Nothobranchius furzeri: one gene and its partners. The protein of the gene in region 1 interacts with the protein of each later gene in a pairwise test. Links are inferred from orthologs where the notes say so. Each region holds a gene or a part of one and is shown in the gene's direction. Other genes may lie near its edges.

Region 1 (3,651 bases):
TGTGAACGGGCTATTCCAAAATTTTCAGAAACAAGAATACTGACCTTAAAATCAATCAAAACCTGAATAGTGGCCACGTGTAAACAATGTGAGCCCCCCTACCAATAATTTCCAGTCAGATGAGAATTTTTTGCTTCAGTCCCTGTTATATACTCACCACACACATTTACGCTTCTGAGATGAGTGTCACTGTCATATCACCAAACCGTTATGCATCCCCCCCCCCCCCCCCCCCCCTTCTGAAACTGATACACAAATGGCTACTAGATGGGAAAAAAAATACTGTTTGTTTGGGCTGGGACGATAATCAATAAATCAATTAATCGTATGATAGATGAAAATGTACTAAATATTTCCAGCATCAATATATCAAGGCTAAGAAATGTACAACTCTGTTATTATTATTATCTTTATTTATTATCATTATTGAAGTGCAGTTTTGGTTTTTGGCACTGGATAGGCCATTGTATTTATTGTTTTGGAGAGACAGGGTCTATTTTATTGTTATTGGTGCAATATTTTTTAACAAAGATTGAAAATCCTTTTTCATTTATTTATTTTTTGTTTGTTTGTTTTATTTAGAAGTTTTGGTTCTGGACTTTCCTGTGTTAAATAAAGGTTTAATTGTTGCATTTTAAAGTGTGTACTTGCATTATTATGATATTTACATTACATAAGTGTTTTTTTTTTGTCTCAATAATGTCGACAATATTATCGTTTATCGTCAATAATTTTTTGGACAATATATCATGCAGCAAAATTTGTTATTGTCCCAGGCCTACTGTTTGTGAATATCAGTCCAGTTTCACATATCAGACCGATGCGTTATGTTCAAAAATGACGAACATTGACCGATGCCGATATAACGTATATCCCTAATTGCTCTTTTTTGTGTTGCTTCCCGTTCACCCCTGAGCAGCAGCCGTGCCTAGACGCGCTCCCACCCCCAGCGGTGCCGTCATGTGGCAGGAGGCCCGCAAACATGAGCGCAAGCTCCGTGGCATGATGGTGGACTACAAACGCCGCGGAGAGCGCCGGAGGGAGTACTATGAGAAGATCGTGAGAGATTTTGTCATCTAGCTGAGCAACACATAACACATATTTTGTTTAAATATACTTATCTTTTAATGATCAGTCTTTAGTGTGATAATTTGTTGTGTTTAACCGGCTCTTGTTGTTTCCTAACAGAAAAAAGATCCGGCTCAGTTCCTCCAAGTTCACAGCCGAGCCTACAAGATCCACTTGGATCCTGCGGTGGCGCTGGCTGCAGAGAGCCCAGCAAACATGTGAGAAGAATCATCTGCATGGACTTAAAACCACAGCACTGAGAATGTGATGATAAGCCTCCCTCCTCTGTTCTGTTTAAAGGATGCCTTGGCAAGGAGATGCCAACAACATGATTGACAGGTTTGATGTGAGGGCTCACCTGGACTACATCCCAACTTACACCCCTCCTCTGCTCAGCACATCGTAAGTGTCTGAAAGACTTTTTTACCCACGTTACATTTAAACAGTGTGAGCCTGTTTGGTGGACATTATGGAAGAAAAATGCCTCCTTTCCTCTTATATTAGTTTATTTAAAGTGTTGTGACAGAACAACGAGACCTTTAATTTCAGGTTTTGTTACTTTTATGATACTATTTCTTTTCCAAAATAAAAATCTAATCATCTCCTTTTTTCATACAGCACCCCAGAGCAGGACATGGAGGAGAGGAAGTGTAATTATGAGCGCTACAGGGGCCTAGTACAAAACGACTTTGCCACCAGTGAGTATTTACTTGTCAGAATTCCAGTTTTATTTTTAGTGCAAGCATACAGATCTGTACATTTGCAGATTTGGCGATTATTGGTGACTTAATTTGCTCTCAGTGGGAATATTCTGCTGTTGTGTTCTGCCTTTTAACCCTCTGATGTCTTTCTGCAGTCTCGGAGGAGCAGTGTTTGTACCAGATTTACCTGGACGAGCTCTACGGTGGCCTGTCGAAGCCAAATGAGGAAGAGAAGAAGAAGTAAGTAAATGTTAAAGTGGTTTCATAATCTTTGTTTTTTAATGTTGTCGTTATTTGCTGTGTAATGTGAGCTGCTCTTTCATTCACAAATCCTCTCCCTTGTTTTGCAGACTTGCAGAGAAAAAGGTTGCCATCGGTTACACGTATGAAGACAGCACGGTGCTGGAGCCGCACTCCCAGTCAGATAAAGATGAAGATAACTCGGAGAACAGTGAATCCGAAGAGGACGAAGGCATTCCTGATATTGGTGAGGAAAAATTGCACGCAAAATACCTGGGACATTTACCGTAAATCCTCTAATACAGGCCCGGGCCTCTATTTGACTCAAGCTCATCAAGCTCCAGGCCTTTATTGGAAGGAGGGCCAGTATTAGAGGCAGGCCTCTATTTCCATTTGAGCAAAATGAACTAATGTTCCTTGGAGTTTTTGACAATTAAAATTGCGCCCACATTTTCAAAGTTAAACACATTTCTTTTAACAACGGTAGTTTCTGCTTCAGCCATCTCCCCCCTCCCCCTGCTTTAGCCCTCTCCCCCCTCCCCCTGCTTTAGCCCTCTCCCCCCTCCCCCTGCTTTAGCCCTCTCCCCCCTCCCCCTGCGCAGCGGCCGCAAACTCACTGATGCGCCTGCAGCCTCTCGGGAGTTCCTGCTGCTCTAAACATTAAAATAATTATTTCATTTTCTGTTCCTCACTTCTGATGACCATCAATGGTGGCTGTTTGTTGCAACAGCAGGTACAAAAACTAACTTGTTTTTATTTGACTATTTTTCTGTCCTGTCTGTTTATTATCTTCCTGCATCTCCTCTCAATCCTAAAGAAAAACTGCTACCTGGGTTCATATATATCCACCTCATGAGTTACCTTTGAACTGCAGTTCTAAAAGATCTACCGACCGCAAAAACAGCGGAGTGCTCGCTGTTTGTCGGCCGTATCAGTGATCAGTGCGTCGGAGGACAAGGTGATGCGCGCAGCGCCCCGCTCCACAGCATGCAGCAAACGCATCAGGCGCAAATAAAAGACAGAAAACATTAAAGGAAATGAACCAACATGAACGATCGCGTGTCAGTACCTACGGTCTGGCACAGCGCGTTGCCCCCACCCCCGAGCGCAGGAGCTTGTCACCTGCTGACAGCAGACTGCTGTCTTTTCCGAGGGCTGCATCTTGCCGGTCATTATCACGTGACAGCGACTAGTCGACGACAGGCATAAAAAGTCACTATAGTGAAGTTGACTAGTTCATACACCCCCTACTGCTGCTCTCCAGAGTGTTCTGCAGCATAATCAGCACGTTCTCTTTGAACTTGATAGTGTAATGACCTGGCTGGGGTTGTAAGCCAGGTGCATTCTGGGTATTGTGTTATATGTGTTTCCTATCGTTCTGCTAGTTCCTATGTGCTGATTTGCGTGTTGTGGGAGTGTTATGTAAGCCACAGGGAAGTTGATGTGTGTTCTGTGGAGTGGGTTGAATTAGCATGGTTAACTGACACCGTGACTCTGTGTGGTAGGAGCGTGATAGAGGATCGTGTCTGTAGCGTTACAAAGCGTTGAAGAAAAAGCCTAATAAAGGTCTGCTTGAACCTCTACTGCCTCCTGCTGGTTGATTTGGGGACTATAACCCTGCCGCTGGGACGCTCATACTTGC
Region 2 (3,651 bases), on another chromosome or scaffold:
TTTCACAAGGCCGTGATTACCCAGATTATTTTTATAAGAAAATAATTACTGCACTAGAATGGCCCGTTTTACCTTCATGTGCAGAATACCAGTTTTTCCATGTCCAGTCACAGGCAGGTAAATGCAGAAACCCCCTCAAAGTATCCTTGTCAAAAGAAAGCAGTTAAGAAAAAACTACTAGAACGATAAAATATTGCAGTCAAAATAAACTATTTTTATTGAACACATTTTGCATATAATCTGTGCAGTTAACCATCTTTATGATTTAACCATCGTTATTGCGTTGGTTATCTCGACCCACCGCTTGCTTTTTTTTAAATACAGTCCCTTTAGCGAACGCGTCTTTAATGGACGTCTGACTCTGACTGCTACTAGCCGTTTTAGCCTTGGAGGTGGAGGGTGCAGATCGAAGCTTGAGACATGCTTGGTAATCCAAGAGGAGTTTTCTGCTGAGGTGATGAAGCAAGTTGCTGGTGTTACCCCCGCCGGCTACCACCGTTGCTCGACAGCATTAGCATATAAAAGTTGTTTGCTCCACGTCCGAACTTTTAAACCCGAAAAACCTCCAAACAACAGACGTGGCTCCTCTTTTTGGAATAAGTTCTTCTGCGTTCGAAGTTTTGATGTCGCCGTGACAGCTCCCGCCAGCCGCCAGCCACCATTCTTGGTTTCACCACGCTGTGGTGTTTGTGTGTAGCAGTGAAATGAGTCCCCGCTGAAACACTTTCCTACTAAGAACGTTCTGTACGTTGTTTAGGCCTTTCACCGGTATAGCGGTATGTGAAAAATTCATATCATAACCAAAATAAACACTGGTTTTTAGTATGACCCGGTATACCGCCCAAGACTAGCTTGCCCCCCCCCCCCCCGCTTGCTCCAGGGAAGGTCTCAGCCTCACGTTAAAAGTTACAGTCTAGAAGGCAGAGGGCAGCAGAGTCACTCAACTGTGATTCTCTGGCTAAAAGCGTCCGCCACCCTCCGTTAGCTTCGGTTAGCTCTGTTAGCTCGTAGCTACACCGACACAGAGTTTGATGTGTGTCACTCATCTGCCCCTACCCTCACATCCCCACTTTCAATGGCCACGATGGCAGAGGTGGGAACCGCCCACTGGGCTTCAATTCAGTCCTTCAGAAATCTGGTGATGGTCTGGGGATGTTCGTTATATATTACAATTATAACATTGTTTTCTAGATCAAAACGACTATAATTCCACAATCTCTGAACATAAACCAACGGTTTCATAAAAAGCATCTAACATCGTGCTTTGAAGAATTAAAAAAACTTTAGTTTGTAACGCGTTTGAACTTTGTGGTGCACATGCTCAGAAAAGCTCCTCCTGTATGATTTGGTTAACTCAATGCCCACAACTCAAGCAGAAAATGGTCTTCTGTCACCAAGCAGCACTGGTTCTTCTATGTCTTCTTAACTTGTGTAAATATTTACTGCGTCTGTCTGATTTTTGATGAGGCCTGTGCTCTGGTTGGGTACAGTGTGGATAATGGGTTCTTGTCGTCCCAGGCTGAGCCAGTGATTCTGGACCTGCGGGACCTGTTCCAGCTCATTTATGAGATAAAGCAGCGGGAGGAGATGGAGAAGAAGGCCCAAAAAGACAAGCAGTGTGAGCAGGCGGTCTACCAGGTACTTTTAAAGATTTCACCTTTATGGTTTATCTCCTAATGGTCCTATCAGGTAAGACTTGAAATACCAGGGAGTGATGGAGCACCTACTTTTTGATTTATTCTGTGACACACAGTGCATGTTTCACTGTCCACCGTTTCATTTCTCTGTTTCCCGTGTTTCCTCTAATACTCGCTAAATGATTATTGGAATGCTGGGAGGTCTTTCCGTGCTTTCCTCCTACTCTTTAACTCTCCGACTCTTCTCTCTTCTGTTCTCTTTTTCCTCCCTTTTTGATCTCTCCCACTCCTTCCTGCCGGCGCGTGTATGCAGACAATCCTGGAGGAGGATCTGGAGGACCCGGTCTACCAGGTAACTCCCTGACCAATCACATCGCTGCTGTCACCTGCTGCACTTCGAGCTTGCTCCTCTGTGTGTGCACTGTGGGGAGACAGCTCCTGTTTGGGTTCGGTGTGGTAGTTGTGCAGATGTTTTTCTCGTGTAGGAGAGTTCGTGAGTCTGTGTCTCAGTGAGCGCATGCACAGCTAAAACGTGTTCGTTTCCTACTGTTTGTTGTTTTTCCTGCTGCCTGAAGTCGTCTCCACGAGTCACTTAGATCTGTTCTTTAACTGCCTTTTAATGGGAGTCTACTGACGATGCTGTTTTTGCTAATCACCTCCACAGCTTAACCACTTCTCTCTCTCTATGATCCTGTTTTCCTCCTGCTTCTCTTTGCTGCTGACGCTTTAGTACATTGTGTTTGAGGCGGGACACGAACCCATCCGTGACCAATCAGAAGAGAGCATTTATCAGGTACTCACAAGCTCATTTTGTTTGCTTGTGTCTTATGTAGCTTCAACTACAGTTCCTGTGGCCAAACTGCTGACGAGAAGTTAAACGCATTTAAGCTACAAAGATTTAATCTTCATTTACTGGCTGATCTCTACGAGCTACATTACTCTTTAATGGGATAAATGTAATGTGGCCCGCACATAAAATTAATTGCTTCTGTTTTTAACACATAAAAAAGAGGATACAGGAAATTAAAGACTTTATAAATCTGTGGAAACCTCCCAGCCGACGCTTTCCCAAGTGCCGATTCAGCTAACGCTAGTTAGTCTGGGGAGATGATTCGTCCTCTGGGTGTAGTCCTCCGAGAACGAGTTACACCTCCAAGGGATGAAGGGGGGGAGGTGCATGTGGAGGGGATGCAGTGGTTATTCTTGGCCCTTATGGAAGGCAGGCCCTCATTTTTGCACCTCCCCTCTCCTCTTTCCCGAGGAGATGAAAGAAAGCTGGGGGGGGGGGGGGTAATCACCAGCTTCTCGTTTGATCTTTAAATAAAACAGATTGAAAATAAAACAGACTGAAAATAGGGGGAAGTGCTGGCGCGTGCACCAAAACAAACACACTTACAAGCAAATCCCGACTTACACGTCAGGCTCGAGCAACGTGAGCCCCAGCCTGCCTCCGGCCACAGAGGGACTGATGTAGGAATAAAGATGGCAGCTTCTGGAAATAAACATGAGAGAGAAGTAAACAAGGCAGTGACAGGAGGAACGTGCTGGATAGATGTCCACGTTTTTCATCAGCAGGATCTTTTTCATTCAGACTGATTAGTTAACAGCAGAGCCCGACCTTCAGAGGGAGGAGCAATAGGAGCTGTTATGATTCAAACGAGCGCCATGCTATCACATCATCTGTGTCACACAGACAAAACTATCTGGCCGTGTGACGAGAGGTATTACATGTCTCAACATATGTGACACTGTGAGTTATTACATGTCTGTGGCTGTGATCAGCAGGCTGGATAAGGCCTTTATCAACCCAGCAGATGAGCCTTCACGCGACTGATTTTAATCCCGATCGTCCCAGCCCACACCCAGAAGCAGGACTAGCTAGTGATCTGGTTCCTGAAGGGATTTGTGTTGGCCGTGTTGAAATGCTGGAACGGTCCCGTGATGCTGAGGTAACTGGCTCTTCTGGCTGCTCTCTGAATGTGTTGGTCAAACGTGTAGGTTCCCACCAGTCAGC
Region 3 (4,250 bases), on another chromosome or scaffold:
GACGTCATTTATGGACTCAGCTTTGCGGGCGTTCTATGAGCAGAGAGGACGCAGCGGTAATGGCTCAAATACTCCAGCTGCGTCCTGCGCGCGGCCGCTGTTATATTCACAAAATCGCTCCACCAAAACCAGTGGCGTGTCCATATCTTTTAAAATGGGGTGGCCCAGTTGAGGGACAACTTTGTGCATGGGTGGCACCAATGGTTATGCTTTTTTTGTTTTACCCCCAAGCCTTTTGTGGACAATGAAAAGCCTATTTAAAGGTAAATTAGTGTGATGGCACCTGGGGTGGCCAATCAGATTCCAAGGGTGGCATGTGCTACCCCAGGCCACTCCCTGGACACGCCTCTGACCAAAACAAAGTAATTCGTGTGCGATCGTTTATATCAGTCCATATTCTCTGGTACTTCATGTACTTTTCAGCTGACTTCATAATCTGTGCCCCGGTGATTTCAACTTATTGCTGCTGGAGCGCAACGAATATTAAGCTTTTTTTAAAAAAATGTTTATTTTATTTTTTTGTGGGTTTGGTAGATCCCTTTGGCTGATTAGTTAGAAAGTAAGAAATTTAGGGAACAGTTTTTCTGGAAGACGGAGAAAACATGCAGCATGCAGGAAGGTTAGAGAGAAAAAGGGCAGGAAATTATTCAAATAAAATCAAGAAAACAAAACAAAGTGCTTCAAAAGAAAAAAGTAGGTAGATTTATCCCCAATACACATTTTTACCAGTGAAAAGCAATAATATATAAGCATTTAATATTTATACATGTGATAGAATCAGATCACCCCAGAAGTCAGTCCCACATCCAGGGCCATATCAAGGCATTTGGGGACCAAGGCAAATATAGGCTTGGAGCCCCCACCATGCTCAGTTAATATAAGATGGCAGCGTGCTGAGAGTACAGATTGTTGTTGCTTTTATTTAATAAACAATAATTTTAAAGCACTGTTATTATATCTGACTGTTTTTAACAGCAACCCTAGCTAGCTCAGACACATCGACATACATATATGGACAATGGGTTTCCATAGACTTGCTCTTGCATTGTGGGGGCTTGCTCAGACACCACATCACTTTCCACATATATGTCATGAGCTCACTGAGCGTCAGATTACCAGATTCATATTGAAGTTGTATTGTTGAAAGTAACTTAAAGTAGTTCAAAAGTAGTTTAATGCCTTACATTTTAAAATCAGTAATATTGTAATGTAATGAATTACTTTAAAATGAGGGTAACAAGTAATAGATAATGCATTACAGTATTGAAGTAACTTGCCCAACACTGATTGTAGTACGCACTTAAGTATTAATTTCATTTTACGTTTAGCTAATATTTAGGGTTTTTTGTGCTTTTCATATTCCTTTAAAAACAAATCTCATTTCCTCCAGAAGGGGGCGCGCGCGTGCAGGTGAAACTGAGCGTGCGTCCGACCGCAGATAAAGAACGGGTGACGTAACCACTTCCACAACAACAAGAAGCTGAGAAACAAGGAAGTGTCAAGCCGTAAGCTATTATAAGGCCGAGACAAGATACACAAAGCGCCGTTTAATCTGATGTTCCTCAGCCTCCGAATCAGTCCACAACAATGAATAACAAAGGTATTTCTCCGTCGTGTGTTTCATTTTCCAGCTAGCTACTCGTTACTTGACGTTGGCGTTGTAAGGAAAGACGAGGAGCTCGCGTTGTGGCCAACTGAAGCTACGTACATAACAATAAACTGACGCACACTCCGAACCAAGCTGTCTTGGATATTGCTAACGTCGGATGTCCGAATTTAGTTTCACATTTTGTTATTTGACCAAAACGGGCCGGTCAGATGTGTTCCAGCAAGCTAACGTGATTATAAAAGCAAATCTGACATGGCTTTCCTGTTTTTGTTGGGGAGGGGGGGAGTTCTTGTTAACAAAGAACATCCCGGTTACATTTATGTTTTTAGACCTGTTCGGCGCAAAAATGCACCAGGTTGTTTATTTCTTCTTTTGTTTGTCTTATTTGAGCTTAGATTGTCTTTTTGTAGCATGACATCTTTGTTCGTGGCTAATGCTAATGACATTTCATGATATTTTTCTTACTGAATTAATTGTTTCACTAAAGCTAAAATAGAAGCAGACATTTTATTCAAACTGTAATGCGCGATGGTCGATTTGTCATGTTGGAAAGACAAAGAAAATGTAAAATTCACATTTGTTTACTAACCACCAGGCTTTTGTGCGTTGTGTTAATCAGATTCGGCTTTATAATAAAATCTTCCATTTACATTTTATTAATTTCTAATCCGTTCACTTGTGTTTTTACAAGTAATACATTTTTACCCTTTGCTTATACTGTCTGGGCTGAGAAAAGTGATTATGTCTAGTTTCCTGGTATTGTTTGCCATACAATGCACTCAAAACAAAACTAGAAACTCTCTTGGCAGTGACAGACTTGCTACAGTCATCACATAGTTTGTTATAATTATGCACAACAGTTTCAGTTGCTTAAATAAATCCCCCCTGATGATATTAAATAACATGTTTCCATCAATATTTAAACATTGTTCTTTCTTTTACTGCCGCCAAATGTTGGACCTAAAGACACTTTGTGTCAAAATCTGGTTTTTGTTCTTTTGTCTGTAAAATGTAGAAACGTTCAAAGTTGTACCCGAAAAAGACCAACGTTAGCTTCAGTATACAAGACATTGGGATTTTCTGTAACGTGTACCACTCAGTAGTTGCGTTCACATCAGTAATAATTTCATGTATTTAGCTGTAAATGTAATCAGCTCCCTCCCATCTCCACTCAGAAGCAGCATCAGTTTATTTATGATGATGATGATGATTGAGAAGAAGTACTTGCAGCTTAATGTTAGTAGTCAAAGTCATTAGTAATAATCAGGGATGTGTATTTTTGTAATTCTGGCGATACGATACATATCACGATACAGGGGAGACGATACGATGTATCCTGATATATTGCGATACATTCAGTCAGACGTTACAAGCTATTTTTTACTGAATTTATTATAAGCATGTTCAATAAACAGTCAAAACTGATATGTAACATGTTTAACATGAGGTATCTGAACCATGATGGAGGGATTTACAGTTCAATGGTGGAAACAAAACCCGTTGCACACTGCTGCCAACTAGCGGGTGGCGATTGAATTGCACAAAACGAAAAGAAAATACACAAATGTTTGCATGTTTGCATTCTTTCAAGAATTAGATACACGGCTTTTGAATATCAATGTAATAATCACAGGGAAAAATATCACGATATATTGCCATATCGATATTTCCTATATGCGGCTTTTGAATATCGATATAATATTGCTGGAAAAATATCGCGATATATTGCCATATCGATATTTCTGATACACAGCTTTTGAATATCGATATAATATTGCTGCGAAAAATATCACGATATATTGCCATATCGATATTTTCTTACATCCCTAGTAATAATGAAACGGTTCTCATCCCATAATTCTTCAGCTGTGCGTGTTTAAAAGTGAAATGTTGTTTTGCAGGCTCATACCCACAGCAGGCTGTGTACCCTCAGCAGAGCTCTGCACCTGTATACCCTCCTGCTATGCAAATGTCTCCTCAGGCACCTCCATACTCAGACACACCACCTGCATATTCTGAGGTAACGCTTGCATCTACAGGTCAAGCCTAGATTAGCTTTTTTTTTTTTTTTAGTATTCTTCAATTAAATCTGTTTCTCGTGTCTTTGTATGCAGATATACCAGCCCAGATACGTGCTTCCACCTCAGGTGCCTGGTCAGGTGCCTCAGATGTCCTCTCCCTACCCTGGTGCTCAGGTGTACATGCCCATGCAGCCACACATGCCCGTTGGTCCGGTGGGCCAGAACGTTCCCATGGCTTACTATCACATGGGAGCTGTTTACCCCCCTGGTTCAACAGTGATGGTGGACGGTGGCTTTGATGCTGGAGCTCGTTTCACAGCTGGCAGCAGTGTTTCCATCCCAGTGAGTACGGAGTGACTTAACCTGTAGCCAAGGCCTTTGTAACTCTTAACCTGCCACTGAGCTCGTTTCTCCTCTTCTCTAGCCCCCACCCCCTGGACACCCCCCTAATGCAGCTCAGCTGGCTGCCATGCAGGGTGCCAATGTTGTCATGACACAGCGCAAGAACAACTTCTTCCTGGGCGGATCCAGTGGAGGTTATACCATCTGGTAACAGCAGCTACTCCCCTCCTTGTTTATGCCTAAACCGTACCCCCGTCCCAGATGATTCCCCAGACCCT

What was found.
Region 2: the proteins of clasrp (region 1) and dab1a interact in a two-hybrid assay, tested with the Homo sapiens proteins (2 studies listed by BioGRID and IntAct). The link is inferred for Nothobranchius furzeri from reciprocal best matches to the Homo sapiens genes CLASRP and DAB1.
Region 3: the proteins of clasrp (region 1) and dazap2 interact in a two-hybrid assay, tested with the Homo sapiens proteins (2 studies listed by BioGRID and IntAct). The link is inferred for Nothobranchius furzeri from reciprocal best matches to the Homo sapiens genes CLASRP and DAZAP2.

The regions. Positions count from the first base shown.
Region 1 is NC_091753.1:42,034,770-42,038,420, reverse strand, and holds part of clasrp (CLK4-associating serine/arginine rich protein), read left to right. Parts: intron 1-919; 5' UTR 920-960; coding exon 961-1,059; intron 1,060-1,188; coding exon 1,189-1,286; intron 1,287-1,368; coding exon 1,369-1,470; intron 1,471-1,686; coding exon 1,687-1,766; intron 1,767-1,924; coding exon 1,925-2,009; intron 2,010-2,119; coding exon 2,120-2,256; intron 2,257-3,651. UniProt on the Homo sapiens protein: Probably functions as an alternative splicing regulator. May regulate the mRNA splicing of genes such as CLK1. May act by regulating members of the CLK kinase family.
Region 2 is NC_091748.1:41,557,405-41,561,055, reverse strand, and holds part of dab1a (disabled homolog 1), read left to right. Parts: intron 1-1,518; coding exon 1,519-1,638; intron 1,639-1,950; coding exon 1,951-1,989; intron 1,990-2,367; coding exon 2,368-2,430; intron 2,431-3,635; coding exon 3,636-3,651. UniProt on the Homo sapiens protein: Signaling adapter of the reelin-mediated signaling pathway, which regulates the migration and differentiation of postmitotic neurons during brain development.
Region 3 is NC_091755.1:37,294,015-37,298,264, reverse strand, and holds the start of dazap2 (DAZ-associated protein 2), read left to right. Parts: upstream 1-1,436; 5' UTR 1,437-1,587; coding exon 1,588-1,600; intron 1,601-3,510; coding exon 3,511-3,629; intron 3,630-3,723; coding exon 3,724-3,972; intron 3,973-4,054; coding exon 4,055-4,183; 3' UTR 4,184-4,250. UniProt on the Homo sapiens protein: In unstressed cells, promotes SIAH1-mediated polyubiquitination and degradation of the serine/threonine-protein kinase HIPK2, probably by acting as a loading factor that potentiates complex formation between HIPK2 and ubiquitin ligase SIAH1.